3 linked regions of the Lonchura striata genome follow. The protein of the gene in region 2 purifies or fractionates together with the protein of the main gene of each other region. This does not show direct contact. Links are inferred from orthologs where the notes say so. Each region holds a gene or a part of one and is shown on either strand. Other genes may lie near its edges.

The links.
Region 1: the proteins of ACTR2 (region 2) and CORO1C fractionate together in Homo sapiens (co-fractionation; 3 studies listed by BioGRID and IntAct, with this or other methods). This does not show direct contact. The link is inferred for Lonchura striata from reciprocal best matches to the Homo sapiens genes ACTR2 and CORO1C.
Region 3: the proteins of ACTR2 (region 2) and CHURC1 purify together in Homo sapiens (affinity purification with mass spectrometry; 4 studies listed by BioGRID and IntAct, with this or other methods). This does not show direct contact. The link is inferred for Lonchura striata from reciprocal best matches to the Homo sapiens genes ACTR2 and CHURC1.

The regions. Positions count from the first base shown.
Region 1 is NC_134620.1:11,362,637-11,366,382, reverse strand, and holds the start of CORO1C (coronin-1C), read right to left. Parts: upstream 2,782-3,746; 5' UTR 2,657-2,781; intron 1-2,656. UniProt on the Homo sapiens protein: Plays a role in directed cell migration by regulating the activation and subcellular location of RAC1. Increases the presence of activated RAC1 at the leading edge of migrating cells.
Region 2 is NC_134605.1:1,572,073-1,575,818, reverse strand, and holds the start of ACTR2 (actin-related protein 2), read right to left. Parts: upstream 2,338-3,746; 5' UTR 2,223-2,337; coding exon 2,175-2,222; intron 1-2,174. UniProt on the Homo sapiens protein: ATP-binding component of the Arp2/3 complex, a multiprotein complex that mediates actin polymerization upon stimulation by nucleation-promoting factor (NPF).
Region 3 is NC_134608.1:52,503,155-52,506,900, reverse strand, and holds CHURC1 (protein Churchill), read right to left. Parts: upstream 2,226-3,746; 5' UTR 2,196-2,225; coding exon 2,157-2,195; intron 2,085-2,156; coding exon 1,949-2,084; intron 1,173-1,948; coding exon 1,102-1,172; intron 673-1,101; coding exon 580-672; 3' UTR 248-579; downstream 1-247. UniProt on the Homo sapiens protein: Transcriptional activator that mediates FGF signaling during neural development. Plays a role in the regulation of cell movement.

The sequences.
Region 1 (3,746 bases), on a different chromosome or scaffold from region 2:
GATTCTGTGTCTGGCTGGGAGGATGTGCTGTGCCCAGGGAAGTGTTCCCCAGCCCCTGCAAAGGGTTTGTCTTGGAGAGACAGGGAGAGCAAAATCCCTTTGGGCTGGCCTTATTCAATCCTTGGCCAGAAAGGGGAGCTGTAGAATTAGGGAATGGAGATAAGGAGAGCAAAATGTTCCATCAGATGCTTTGAAACAACAGCCAGGAGGGGAGAAGTGCCTCGGTGTCGCAGCAAGGAAAGAGGAAAACATGGATTAAAGGACAGCGTTGGGAGCCAGCGTCCCTGAGCTTTATTCCCAGCTCTGTGTGACATGGAACCATCTCTGTGCTACTTCCAGACCCCAGAATTGGGGTCATTCACAACTCCCCTCCCCAAAGGGCAATAAAATCCACTGTGGTGAGTGAGGGCCCATGCTGACATCGCTCCTGTGCCACTTGGAAAGGCTGGAGGATGCTGGAGATGGGTAAGGAATGGGTGAACATTAGGCCAGGATGTGCATTAATAATTGATGCTATTGTTATTAATGATTTACAATAGATTTCATTGAGCACATCTATTACTGCATCTCCCCACTCTCACACCTTTTATGCAGCAATATTGGTGTCACACACATCCCTCCCAGCTCAGCTGGAAAAAAGGCATCAAAAAATGAGCTTTTACAGCAAAAAGAAACCTCTAATTTCAAGCTAATCTATTTCCTCATGTATTTTTCTCCATCGTTAAACAGGATTGTGAAATATATTTTAATTTCTTTTCTATTTCTGCAGTGAAGGGGAGGTAGGTCCCAATACCTAATTAAAATGTTGGGCCTCCAAATAAACCCAAAGCAATTGCTTGCAACAGATGGGATTTCCTTTGTTGCTGTCTCTGAATGATTAACAAGGAGGAGAGAGACAAGAAAGCAGAACTGAAAAAAAAAAAAAAAGGAAAAAAAAAAAAGCAAAAATAAAAAGCAAGCAAGCTGTATTTTATTTACAACATGAATATTCTGACAATTCCTATCATCCTGAGCAGCAGGAAAAAATCAGGCAGGCAGGGAAGAAGCCGGGGCTCTGGGCAATGATCCCAGAGCCTCACTATTCAACCAGTTTTGAATTCTTTTGCCATCTCCTTCTGTTTCTCTCCCTGCTGTCTAGGATCAGGTTGGACCAAAGGTGCTGGAAAAATCAGAGATATAAGAAAGGAAACACATAAGGGTAAATCCAGGTGAGGTGTTCGTGTTTGAGATTTGGGAAGATCGGTGTTTGACCCAGCTTTTAAAACCCCAACAGACTGCCATGGATAGAGCAAAATGAGAAGCTGCTCTTGCTCTTCTTCCTGCTCTAGTGGAAGATGTCCCTGCCCATGCAGGGGTTGGACAAGATGGGCTTTGAGGTCCCTCCCAGCCTGAATAATTCCGTGAGTTTGTGATTTTTTTTATTGCAACATTTCCACCCTTCAGCACTGAAATATTGTCTCAACACTCCCTCCCTGTTAAAAATGTGTCAGGGGGGATTGGGCTGCAGCTGGTATTGCCTTGGGGAGGGAGCTGATTCCTTGTATTCCTTCTCACCCCCTTCTTGTGCTAGACCTGTTCCCCCCACCTGCTCCTTCCATCCCGGGAAGGATGAGCTGATCAAACATCCCAGTGCCGGGTGTGGCTGTGGGGAACGCTCCAGCTCAGCTGTACCGGCGACACCAGCCAGCCTCCCTCTCGAGGGCTGTGGAGATCCACACTCAGACACCACCACAGAGCCTGGCAGTGCTTGCAGCGACAAATACCTCCCACCACTATTTCTTTACATCGTGCAATGTGTCCTCAGCTGCTTCCTGAGAGCACAGGAGCCGTTTGTCATCCCTGCAGGGGTTTTGTCATCCCTGACAGGCACAAACTGTGCCACGTTCACGCCCCGACTCTGTCGCGACAGTAACAGATCACACCTATTTTTTAAGCAAACTCAGTTCAAAGCCACCACAGATTTCCTGTGCCTTAAAACACTTATTTTTCCTTATAAGGAAATGCACAATTGCAGATTGTCACTGAACAGAAGATGGGAGTTAAGCAGCGTGGGTCGGGTGGCTCCTTGCGGCATCCGAACTCTCACACAAACACTCATTTCTATCCCTCCTATTTTTGCAGAACTGCTGTTTTACCAGGAAAATTTCAACAGAGTTCACTTCTCCACATTTTTTTCGGTGAAAGGGTTTCCAAGTTGATGTCATTCTCCTGAATGGCTTTTTCAGTGAAGTCACAGTGCAGGAGAAAAACTTAGAGAAAATAATGCTGCTTTTTTTAATAGCTAAAATAAAATTGGCTCACCCAGTGCCTGGAGAGATAGAGGCAAATAATCCCACATGGCAGTGGGAGGATGCATCCTATGGACACTGCTTCATATTAGCTGCTGTGAGAAGCAGCAAATTGTACTTATTCCTACACAGGGGTCTGACAAAACAAATCTTTCCCCAAAACAGTTTCACTGCATGAGGGGCTTTGAACCAACACCTGATTCCCATCCTGCCTCCTCAGAGTCCGTGTGCCCTGAGCACATCCCATCTGTCACCCGGCTATTCCCAGCAGCTATTTCCCACCCACGGCAGAGTTCCCACCTGCCCTGGAACTGCGACCTCCAGGACCCCTCAGCCCCACGGCAGAGCCAGGACCCCTCACTGCTCACCTTTTTTGGGCGCTGGTGCTGCTGCCGTCCCCTCCGACGCCTTGGGCTTTTCGAAGGTTTTCTTGGCATCGGCAACTTTAAGCACATTCTCATCCTCCTGACTCTGCCTCCCCTTCCGCTCCGGCTCCTCCGAGCCCCCTCCTCCCGCAGTCCGGCCTCCAGGGAGCAGCTCGGTGCCCGCCGCTGCCCACTGCTCCCTGCCAGCCTTGGCCTCATCGCCGAGGGGCTCCAGCAGCGCCTCCGTCAGCGCCACAGCCTTGCTCATACTCAGAGCCAGGCTCTCCTTGCTGTGCGTCCTGACAGGGGGTGCCGGGGGGGTTCTTTTCGGGATGTAGGAGTCCAGTTCATCAGCTTCACCTCCGAGCTGCTCCCGGCTGTCTGGGAGCTGGCTGCTGCTCTGTCTTGAAAGCTTCCCGGTGTCTCTGGCCACCGAGGGATAATTTGTGACCGCAGGGACCATTCTCTCGAGGCTTTTCACTACCGGCTGGTCTGGCTCGGGCTTCCTGGCCGGATCCTCCTCGCTGGCCTGGCCGTTCTGGCACAGGACAAGTGTTCCATCGGGCTGGGGGGTAAAGCTCCGTGCCTGCCTCAGGCTGTCCCTGCTGCTGTCCCTGGGGATGTAGGAGACAGGTGTGCCTGCCTCCTGCTTGCTTTGCAGGATGTAATCCATGAGGATGGCGTTGCGCTCGAAGCTGTCAGACCTGACAGGCACGGTTGGTTTGTTCCCCTCTGAGGGGCCCTTGGGGCTCAGTTTGGTCACTTGCCTGCCCTCCACGCTGCTTTCTGAGTCCGAGCGGCTCATCTGCCTCCTCAGGACTCTTTCCAAGGAGTTGAGCCTGCTAAGGCTTGGGCTTGCCACCTTCCCATCCCCTGCATAGCCCTCCTGAATCAAGGGTAGCGTGTCCTCTGCCTCTTCCCATTCCTCCTCAGGTTCCGTTTCTGCCTCCTGGATGAGGCGCCGGTACTCGCTCTCCTCCAGCCTGTAGACCACCGGCCTCACCGTCCTGCCCGTGCCCACCCGCCTGGGCACCACCTCCAGCTCGTACACCTTTGGAGGGGCTTCTCCCTCCCGCCCTCTCCTGCGCCCTTT
Region 2 (3,746 bases):
GAGTAACTTTCTGCTTGGCCTCTAACAATAAGAGCATCCACCTCTAACGCTGCAGACCTTTGAGGTGCCATTGCCTGCCTCCCACACTATGTGTTGCAAGAACTTCCTTCGAGCCACTCACCTCTTCCTCAAAGACTGGCTGCAGCCTGATGCATCAGGAGTCCTACTGCAGCCTAACAAGAACAGCAAATTGCAAAGACGAGCCTAACGTTAAAAATTCACCCGTTTTTCCAAAGATATTCTCCATTTTTTACCTATAAGTTTTCCGACACATGGAGAGCGATTTCATTTCAATCATGCTTTTAAGTGTGAGATATCAGAAATAATGCTAAACATTTCTTGTCACATAGGCAAAATATTATTATCAAAATAGTGGCTTGACAATACAGAACTACTTGATACCTCGACATGCAATTGAGACTCAAAAATTTTACTGAATGGAATTTTTGTGCAGATTAGTTATCCCAATCCTTGTCCAATTATCCCAAATCAATCTGAACATTTTGAGTTGACTCATTTAACAATTAAAACACTCTTTCACTCTACTCTCCCACCCAAGGAGTTCTGTGGCTTCCAGGCACACATTGTTCTGCCCAAAAACCCAGCACAACCCAAAACCACACAGGCTGAAATGACACAGGCTCCTCTTGCACCATAAAGACACCTTCCACTCCTGTGGTTATTTATATCCTGCTGGTCCAACTCATCGAGGGAAAAACTGTATGGATCCAAGATGTGTCTGGAATTAACAGCATGCACAGATACCCCAGGCTGTAAAGAAATGTGTGTGGCACACCCAGCTTGGGAAATCTGGTTGGAAAAATTGCTTTTACCCTCTGTGTCACACCTGAGACCAGCCAAGGCACAACACTGCTGTCACCAGCAATACACTCAACATTTTACAACTCAGTGATTATTGCCATATAAAGGACCACACCAATGGATGAAGCTCTGAATTTTTTGTTTTGGTTTTTTTTTTTTTTTTTTTTTACTCTGGGCCTCGCAATAGGAAGATTAAAGAAAAAAGAACAATAAAAGAAGTCAAACAAACAAACAAACCGTAAAGCAGCTTCCATATCCTTTTGTAACAAGAAAATGCTATCTCCTTTTCTTTCCTTTCTCTAAATTATAGTGTAAAAAGTGCCCAAAGGCTCTGAATTCTAACCCTATCAAAGATAGCTTTTGCTATATGAGGGTTAATGAAGACATCATCACTGTCAAACCCCGAAACTGTCAAATATGATGTTCTTCTTCCTGAACCATTCTAACAATTTCAGATGCTAACTGAAAAACCCCCTAATTTAGGATGCTGAATCTGTAATAAAATAATCCTTTGTCTCAAATATTCTTTACTAGGCTTATTAAAAAAAGAAAAAAAAGTCTTTTTTGCAAGTGTTCATATAAAAAAAAAACCCTTGTTTTTTTTTGCCATTCAAGAGATCTTAATGCACCACCAATCGAGGTAACTCTGCACATAATATTGCTTTACTGGGGGAAACCTAGACTGCTAAAAGAAATTACCGAGGGGAAATAACCACCGATAGCATCTGATCTCCTCCTGCTTTAAAATGGTATCTTTTTCACTTCCTGCCAAGGTGCTTCACAGCCTGACAAAAGGATGGATTTTCCAGCGGTGCCTGCACGCTTATGGAGGCCAGGAAAGGTGGAAAGGATGGGGAGAAAACCTTTCATTTAGAAAATGCCGATTATGGGAGGTACGCGGCAGATCGGAGAGGCACGGAGGAAAGGATGATGCTCTTAAAAAAAAAAATAAATAAAATAAAATAAAATAACCAAACACATTTCCCTCAAGTAATAATCCTGCAGACACAGGACGCATCCTGACTGCCCAACGCATAATGCGCTGATTCAGAATTTTTAAAAATCGCCGTTTTTGTCTGAAGGCGCGCTGCTGAGGGGACCGGCCCAGGTCACGCAGGGGAATCGGGACCGCCGAGGGCCGGGGCCGGGCACCGCAGGGCCCGGGGAGCACGGGCACACCGGGCCGAGGGCCCATCGCCCATTCATTCCGCGGGGACGGCGGCCGGGCCGGGCGGGCGGTGCCGGCAGGAAGCCGGGCCGGCTCCGGTGGGGGAGCGCCACCCGCCTTCCCCTTCCCCTTCCCCTCCGCCCCGGCGGCAGGGCGGCTCCCGGCGCCGCCCGCGCGCACTCACCCCGGTGCCGTTGTCGCACACCACCACCTTCCTGCCCAGCGTGTCCATCGCCGCCCACACCGCCGAACGCGGCTCCGCACCGGCAGCCCCGACACGACACCGAGCGCGACAGCGGCACCGCCCCGAGCTCCGCCGGGCCCCCCGCGCGCCGCCCGCCCGCCGGAAGCCGTCAGCGCGCGCCGCCCGCCCCGCCCGCCGCCCGCTCCGCCCCCGTTGCCGGGGCGGCGGCGGCGGCAGCGGGGCACGGGCGGTGCGGCGGCCCGGAACCGAGCCCCCGAGTCACCCCGAGCCCCCCGAGCCACCCCGAGCCCCCCGAGCCCCCCGAGCCCCCCCAGCCTGCCGGCTCGCCTCCCTGCGCCCGCCTCCCACCCGTGCGGAGGTGGGGGTCGCCTGAGGGGCCGCCCGCCTTCCCCCCTCACGCCGCCCTGCCTGCTCTGCCTGCCCGCGCGGGGCGAAATCAGCCCCGAAAAGCTTCTGTTTGCCGGGGATGCTGTGTCCATTCGGCATCTCCCGAGCTTCTGCTCCTCCCACAGGCCTTGCCCAGGTTCGCCCGGCGAACAGTTTGCATTTGTGTGATGGGTTCTGAGTGAAGGAAAAGATAAAGTGTGATCTGGCTCCTCTCTGGCAGCTCCATATTTGTAAAGGATAAGCGTGACCTCCTGCATTGTCTCTGGCAGCCTCAATATTTGTTTATTGTGTTGCCCCAAATTCCACAAGAAGTCAGGAGCAACCCCAGGTTTTTCCCTCCATGCCACGAACTGTGTCGGTCCCCTATGAACAGCAGCCTGTTCCAATTGGGTATTAGATGCCAATATTTGTTTATTTTGTTGCCCCAAATTCCACAAGAAGTCAGGAGCAACCCCAGGTTTTTCCCTCCATGCCATGAGCTGTGTCGGTCCCCTATGAACAGCAGCCTGTTCCAATTGGGTATTAGATGCCAATATTTGTTTATTGTGTTGCCCCAAATTCCACTGACTTCCACAAGAAGTCAGGAGCAAACCCCAGGTTTTTCCATCTGTGCCATGAGCTGTGTCGGTCCCCTATGAACAGCAGCCTGTTCCAATTGGGTATTAGATGCCAATATTTGTTTATTGTGTTGCCCCAAATTCCACTGACTTCCACAAGAAGTCAGGAGCAAACCCCAGGTTTTTCCATCTGTGCCATGAGCTGTGTCGGTCCCCTATGAACAGCAGCCTGTTCCAATTGGGTATTAGATGCCAATATTTGTTTATTGTGTTGCCCCAAATTCCACTGACTTCCACAAGAAGTCAGGAGCAAACTCCAGGTTTTTCCCTCCATGCCACGAACTGTGTCGGTCCCCTATAAACAGCAGCCTGTTCCAATTGGGTATTAGATGCCAATATTTGTTTATTGTGTTGCCCCAAATTCCACTGACTTCCACAAGAAGTCAGGAGCAAACCCCAGGTTTTTCCATCTGTGCCATGAGCTGTGTCGGTCCCCTATGAACAGCAGCCTGTTCCAATTGGGTATTAGATGCCAATATTTGTTTATTGTGTTGCCCCAAATTCCACTGACTTCCACAAGAAGTCAGGAGCAAACTCCAGTTTTTTC
Region 3 (3,746 bases), on a different chromosome or scaffold from region 2:
CCCTAGGGCAGGGGAAAGTGACCCCAAACCAACTCCACGGGAAGGGAAAATCATCCAAGTCCTTTCTCTCCAGGGTTTAGGAGAGCACTGGGAGAGTGTAGTGGACTCTCCAGTGCTGGGAAGGGCCAAGGAAGAATCCCACAGGCTCCTGGGATGGAGAAAGCCTCTTCCATCAGCCCTCAACACCCTTCACCACCTCCAGGGGGCGAAGCCCACTCCCAAAATACTCCTGCTTGTGCCACCGAGCTGTCACACGTCACATTTATTACTCCATATATGAGGGCTCCTGAGGCAGGATGGGATGGGAATCCTTTTGGATCCTGTTTTGGGGACCCCTTTATGTCTTCAGCACATGGGGGACTTGGGCCGTGGCACTGCATCCCATCCTTGCAGTCAGGGTCAGAGCCAAAAGGCTCCAGAAACATGGGAGCATCCGGTGTTGGGTGTTCACTGCATCCAGGCTGGAAGTTTGGAGGAGCAAATCCTGTCAGGGACTGTGTGGTCCCCAGAAATTACAGTGGCAGGGATCCAGGGATCTCCCAGAGCTCCTGGAAGCTCATCCTGGGATACACATGGGGATCAGAACAGCGGGGTCATCTGGCGAGGGTCGTCAGGCAGGATGCTAATGGAATCCTCAGCACGGCCGCAGAGCAGGCACAGCATGGTATATTCCTGGGGGAAGGAAAAGGGGGGGGCTGGAAAAAGAGGGGCTGTCACAGCCCTCCCCCGCTATACGGAAACTTGAGCCAGAGCTGGTACCCGATCCCTGATTGCAATCAGAGCCAGGGGATCTCATTTCCAGCCCTACCGGCTCCCCTGAGCCCTTTTTCCAGCCCTTTGCTGCATAGGAGATGTGCCAGGAATGAGCAATGGGGGTCACAGCCCCCTCCCATCACCCACATTCCTATGCCAGGTGAGCTGGGCTTCCCCCACAAGGCACAGACTAATGCTGGGGGGACTCCAGGTAGCCCTGAACATGGGGATGGGGCTCTGAATCCTTTGAGGCTCTGTCCCAGGGAAGGTAGGAATCAGCCTGTGGAAGGGTGCATCTGGAATTCCAGAGACAGAGTCAGGAGGGCTTTTAGGGGACAAGAAACAAACCTGGTAGTCATCCACCACGCTGAAGGTGTACTCGTGGTGTGCAATCAGGTGGTGGCAGTTCTTGCACAGGTCTGTGGGGCAAGGGACAGTGGGGTGAGGACATGGCCATCGTCCCTCCCCAATCTCTTGGGGCAAGTCCCAGTCCTCCATGCCTGCCCTCACACCCAGGGCATAGACGTCCCAGTCCCCAAAGCATCAAGCCCCCAAAATTCCCATCAGAGCAACTCACCCCCGCTTCATGCCCATCTGCAGCTCGCTGATACTCCCTTTAAAACCTAAGACCCTCCCCCACAGGGCATCCACCCTTCTCACCCTCAGGAACCTCCGAGATATTGGGGCCTCAAATTTTCCCTACTCAAACTAATCCTCCTTTAGGTCTCTCCCTCCTTTGACCTCTGAGCCCCCCACCCCAACACGCCCCCACCCTCGAGGGCCCCCACACCCCAGAAGTTCTTCCCAGCCACCCAGAATCCAAATGTTACCACCAGGCCTCAACCTTCAAGGCCTCCACCTGTGTCCCCCAGTGTTCAAGACCCCCAGATCCCAAAGGCTTGCTCCAGCCCTCTCTAACTCTCAAGATCGTCCAAGCTCCAGACTCCAAAGGCCCTCCACAGCCTTCAGCATTCTTCAAGACCCAAGGTTCCCCCCGAACTCCGACTCTTCCCAGCCCTCAAGACCCCAAACATTCAGCGATCCCTGAACCCCAGGGATGGCTCAGGGATCCCTCAAATGTCACCCTCAAAAACCCCAAACCCCAAAGCTCCCCTCAGGCCCCCCGACCCTCAAGAACCCCAGAGCCCAAAGGCTCCCCCATCCACGTAAGCCCCCCCGGTGCCCCCCACCGCACGGTCATAAGTGACGATCTCCTCCCCGCCCTGCAGGTCCTCGGCTCGGTTGTTGACCAGCACGAAATCCCGGCGGCCGCACTGCGCGCACCCCACGAAGTTCAGGAGGAAAGATCCGCCCTCCAGGCAGGTGGTGCCCTAGGGCGGGAGCAGAGGCTCGGACCGGTGCCGGTGCCGGTGCCCGCCGGTGTCCCCCGCTCCCGCCCTCACCCGCTCCGGGTACTCGGTGCCCACACAGCCGCCGCACATCTCGCGCCGCGCTCCCCCGCAAATGTCGCGAGAACTGCGCTGAGGGGCGGGGCTCAGCGGCGGGGCGGGGCCGAGGCGCTGGGTGTGGGCGTGGCCTGGAGGACAATGGGCGTGGTTTAAGGAAGTGGGCGTGGCCTGTGGGGCCGTGGGGCTGCTTGGGGCAACCGGGAATATTTGGGGGGAGTCTGGGCTAGTCGGGCACCCAGGGCTGGTGGGGGACGCCTGGAGCTACCTGGGGGCACCCAAGGCTAGTGGGGGACACCTAGAGTGACCTGCGCAGCATCTGGGGCTAGTGAAGGGCACCTGGGGCTAGCTGGGATTACCTGTGAGATACCCAGGGCTAGCGGAAGACCTCAGAAAGTAGCTGGCGGGCATCCAGAGCTAGTGGGAGACACCCAGAACTAGCTGGGGGACATTCAGGGCCAGCTGTGGGGTGTTGGAAATTGGCTGGGGGACACTCTCGATTAGTGGGAAACACACAGGGCCAGGTGTGGGGTGCCTGTGACTAGCTGGGGGGCATCCGGGGATAGTGGGGGCACCCGGGGCTGATTGTAGGGTGGCTTGGGCTAGCTGGGGGTCACCCGGGGCTAGCTGGGGACTGCCTGGATTAGATGGAGGACACCACGGACTAGTTGGAGGATATCCAGGACTAGTGGGGTCACCCGGGACAAATTAGGGGGTGCCTGGGACGAGCTGGAGTACACAGAGGTCTAACTAGGGCGTGCCTGGGACGAGTTGGGGAACTCACAGGGCTAGTGGAGGACACCTAGGGCTAGCTGAGGGATGCCTGGGACTAGCTGGGGGGCATCCAGGGCTAGCGGGGGATACGTGGGCCGGCCGGAGGGGATGGCCGTGGACCCCCGCCGGTGTCGGCGGGGCGCTGCGCCTCTCCGCAGCCTGCAGGGGACGGTGCCGCCGCCAATGATGCTGCCGCCAATGGTGCTGCCGATGCCGGTGCTGCCGGTGTCGGTGCTGCTGCCGGTGCCGGTGGCGCTGGCGGCCGGGGGGCGCCGCTGTGCTGCATTGCGGGGCGGGCGGCCCGTCCCCGTCCCCGTCCCTGCGCCCATCCCCGTCCCCGCCCGCCCGGTCGGCTCGGCCCGGCCCTCCCGGGGGGAGCGGGGCTATCGGGGCCGGGCAGCGCCGCCGGCTCCGGGTAGGAATGTCCCTGCGCGCCCAGATAATGTTATTTATATCGCGGTGCAGGGCGGCTCCGCTCCCCCCGCCCCGCTCCCGCACCGGCCCCGCCGCCGCCGCCGCCGCTCGCCCGCCCGCCGCCCCGCGCAGGTGAGACCCCGCGGCACCGGGATGCGCCGCTCCGGGGAGCACGGGAGGCACCGGAGGACAGTGGGAGGCGCCGGTCCCCGGGGACACGCGGAGCCGGGGGGGGTACCGGCAGGCGCTGGCCGCCCCGGGGATACCGGGTGGGGGGTGCGGCACCGAACACCGGGCGCGGTACCGTGCGGGGACGGTGGGCACGGAGGAAAGTTTGGTGGTGAGGATGAAGAGCCCTCCGGGGAGCCTGAACCCCCTTTTCGCCTGCGGCGGGGGGTC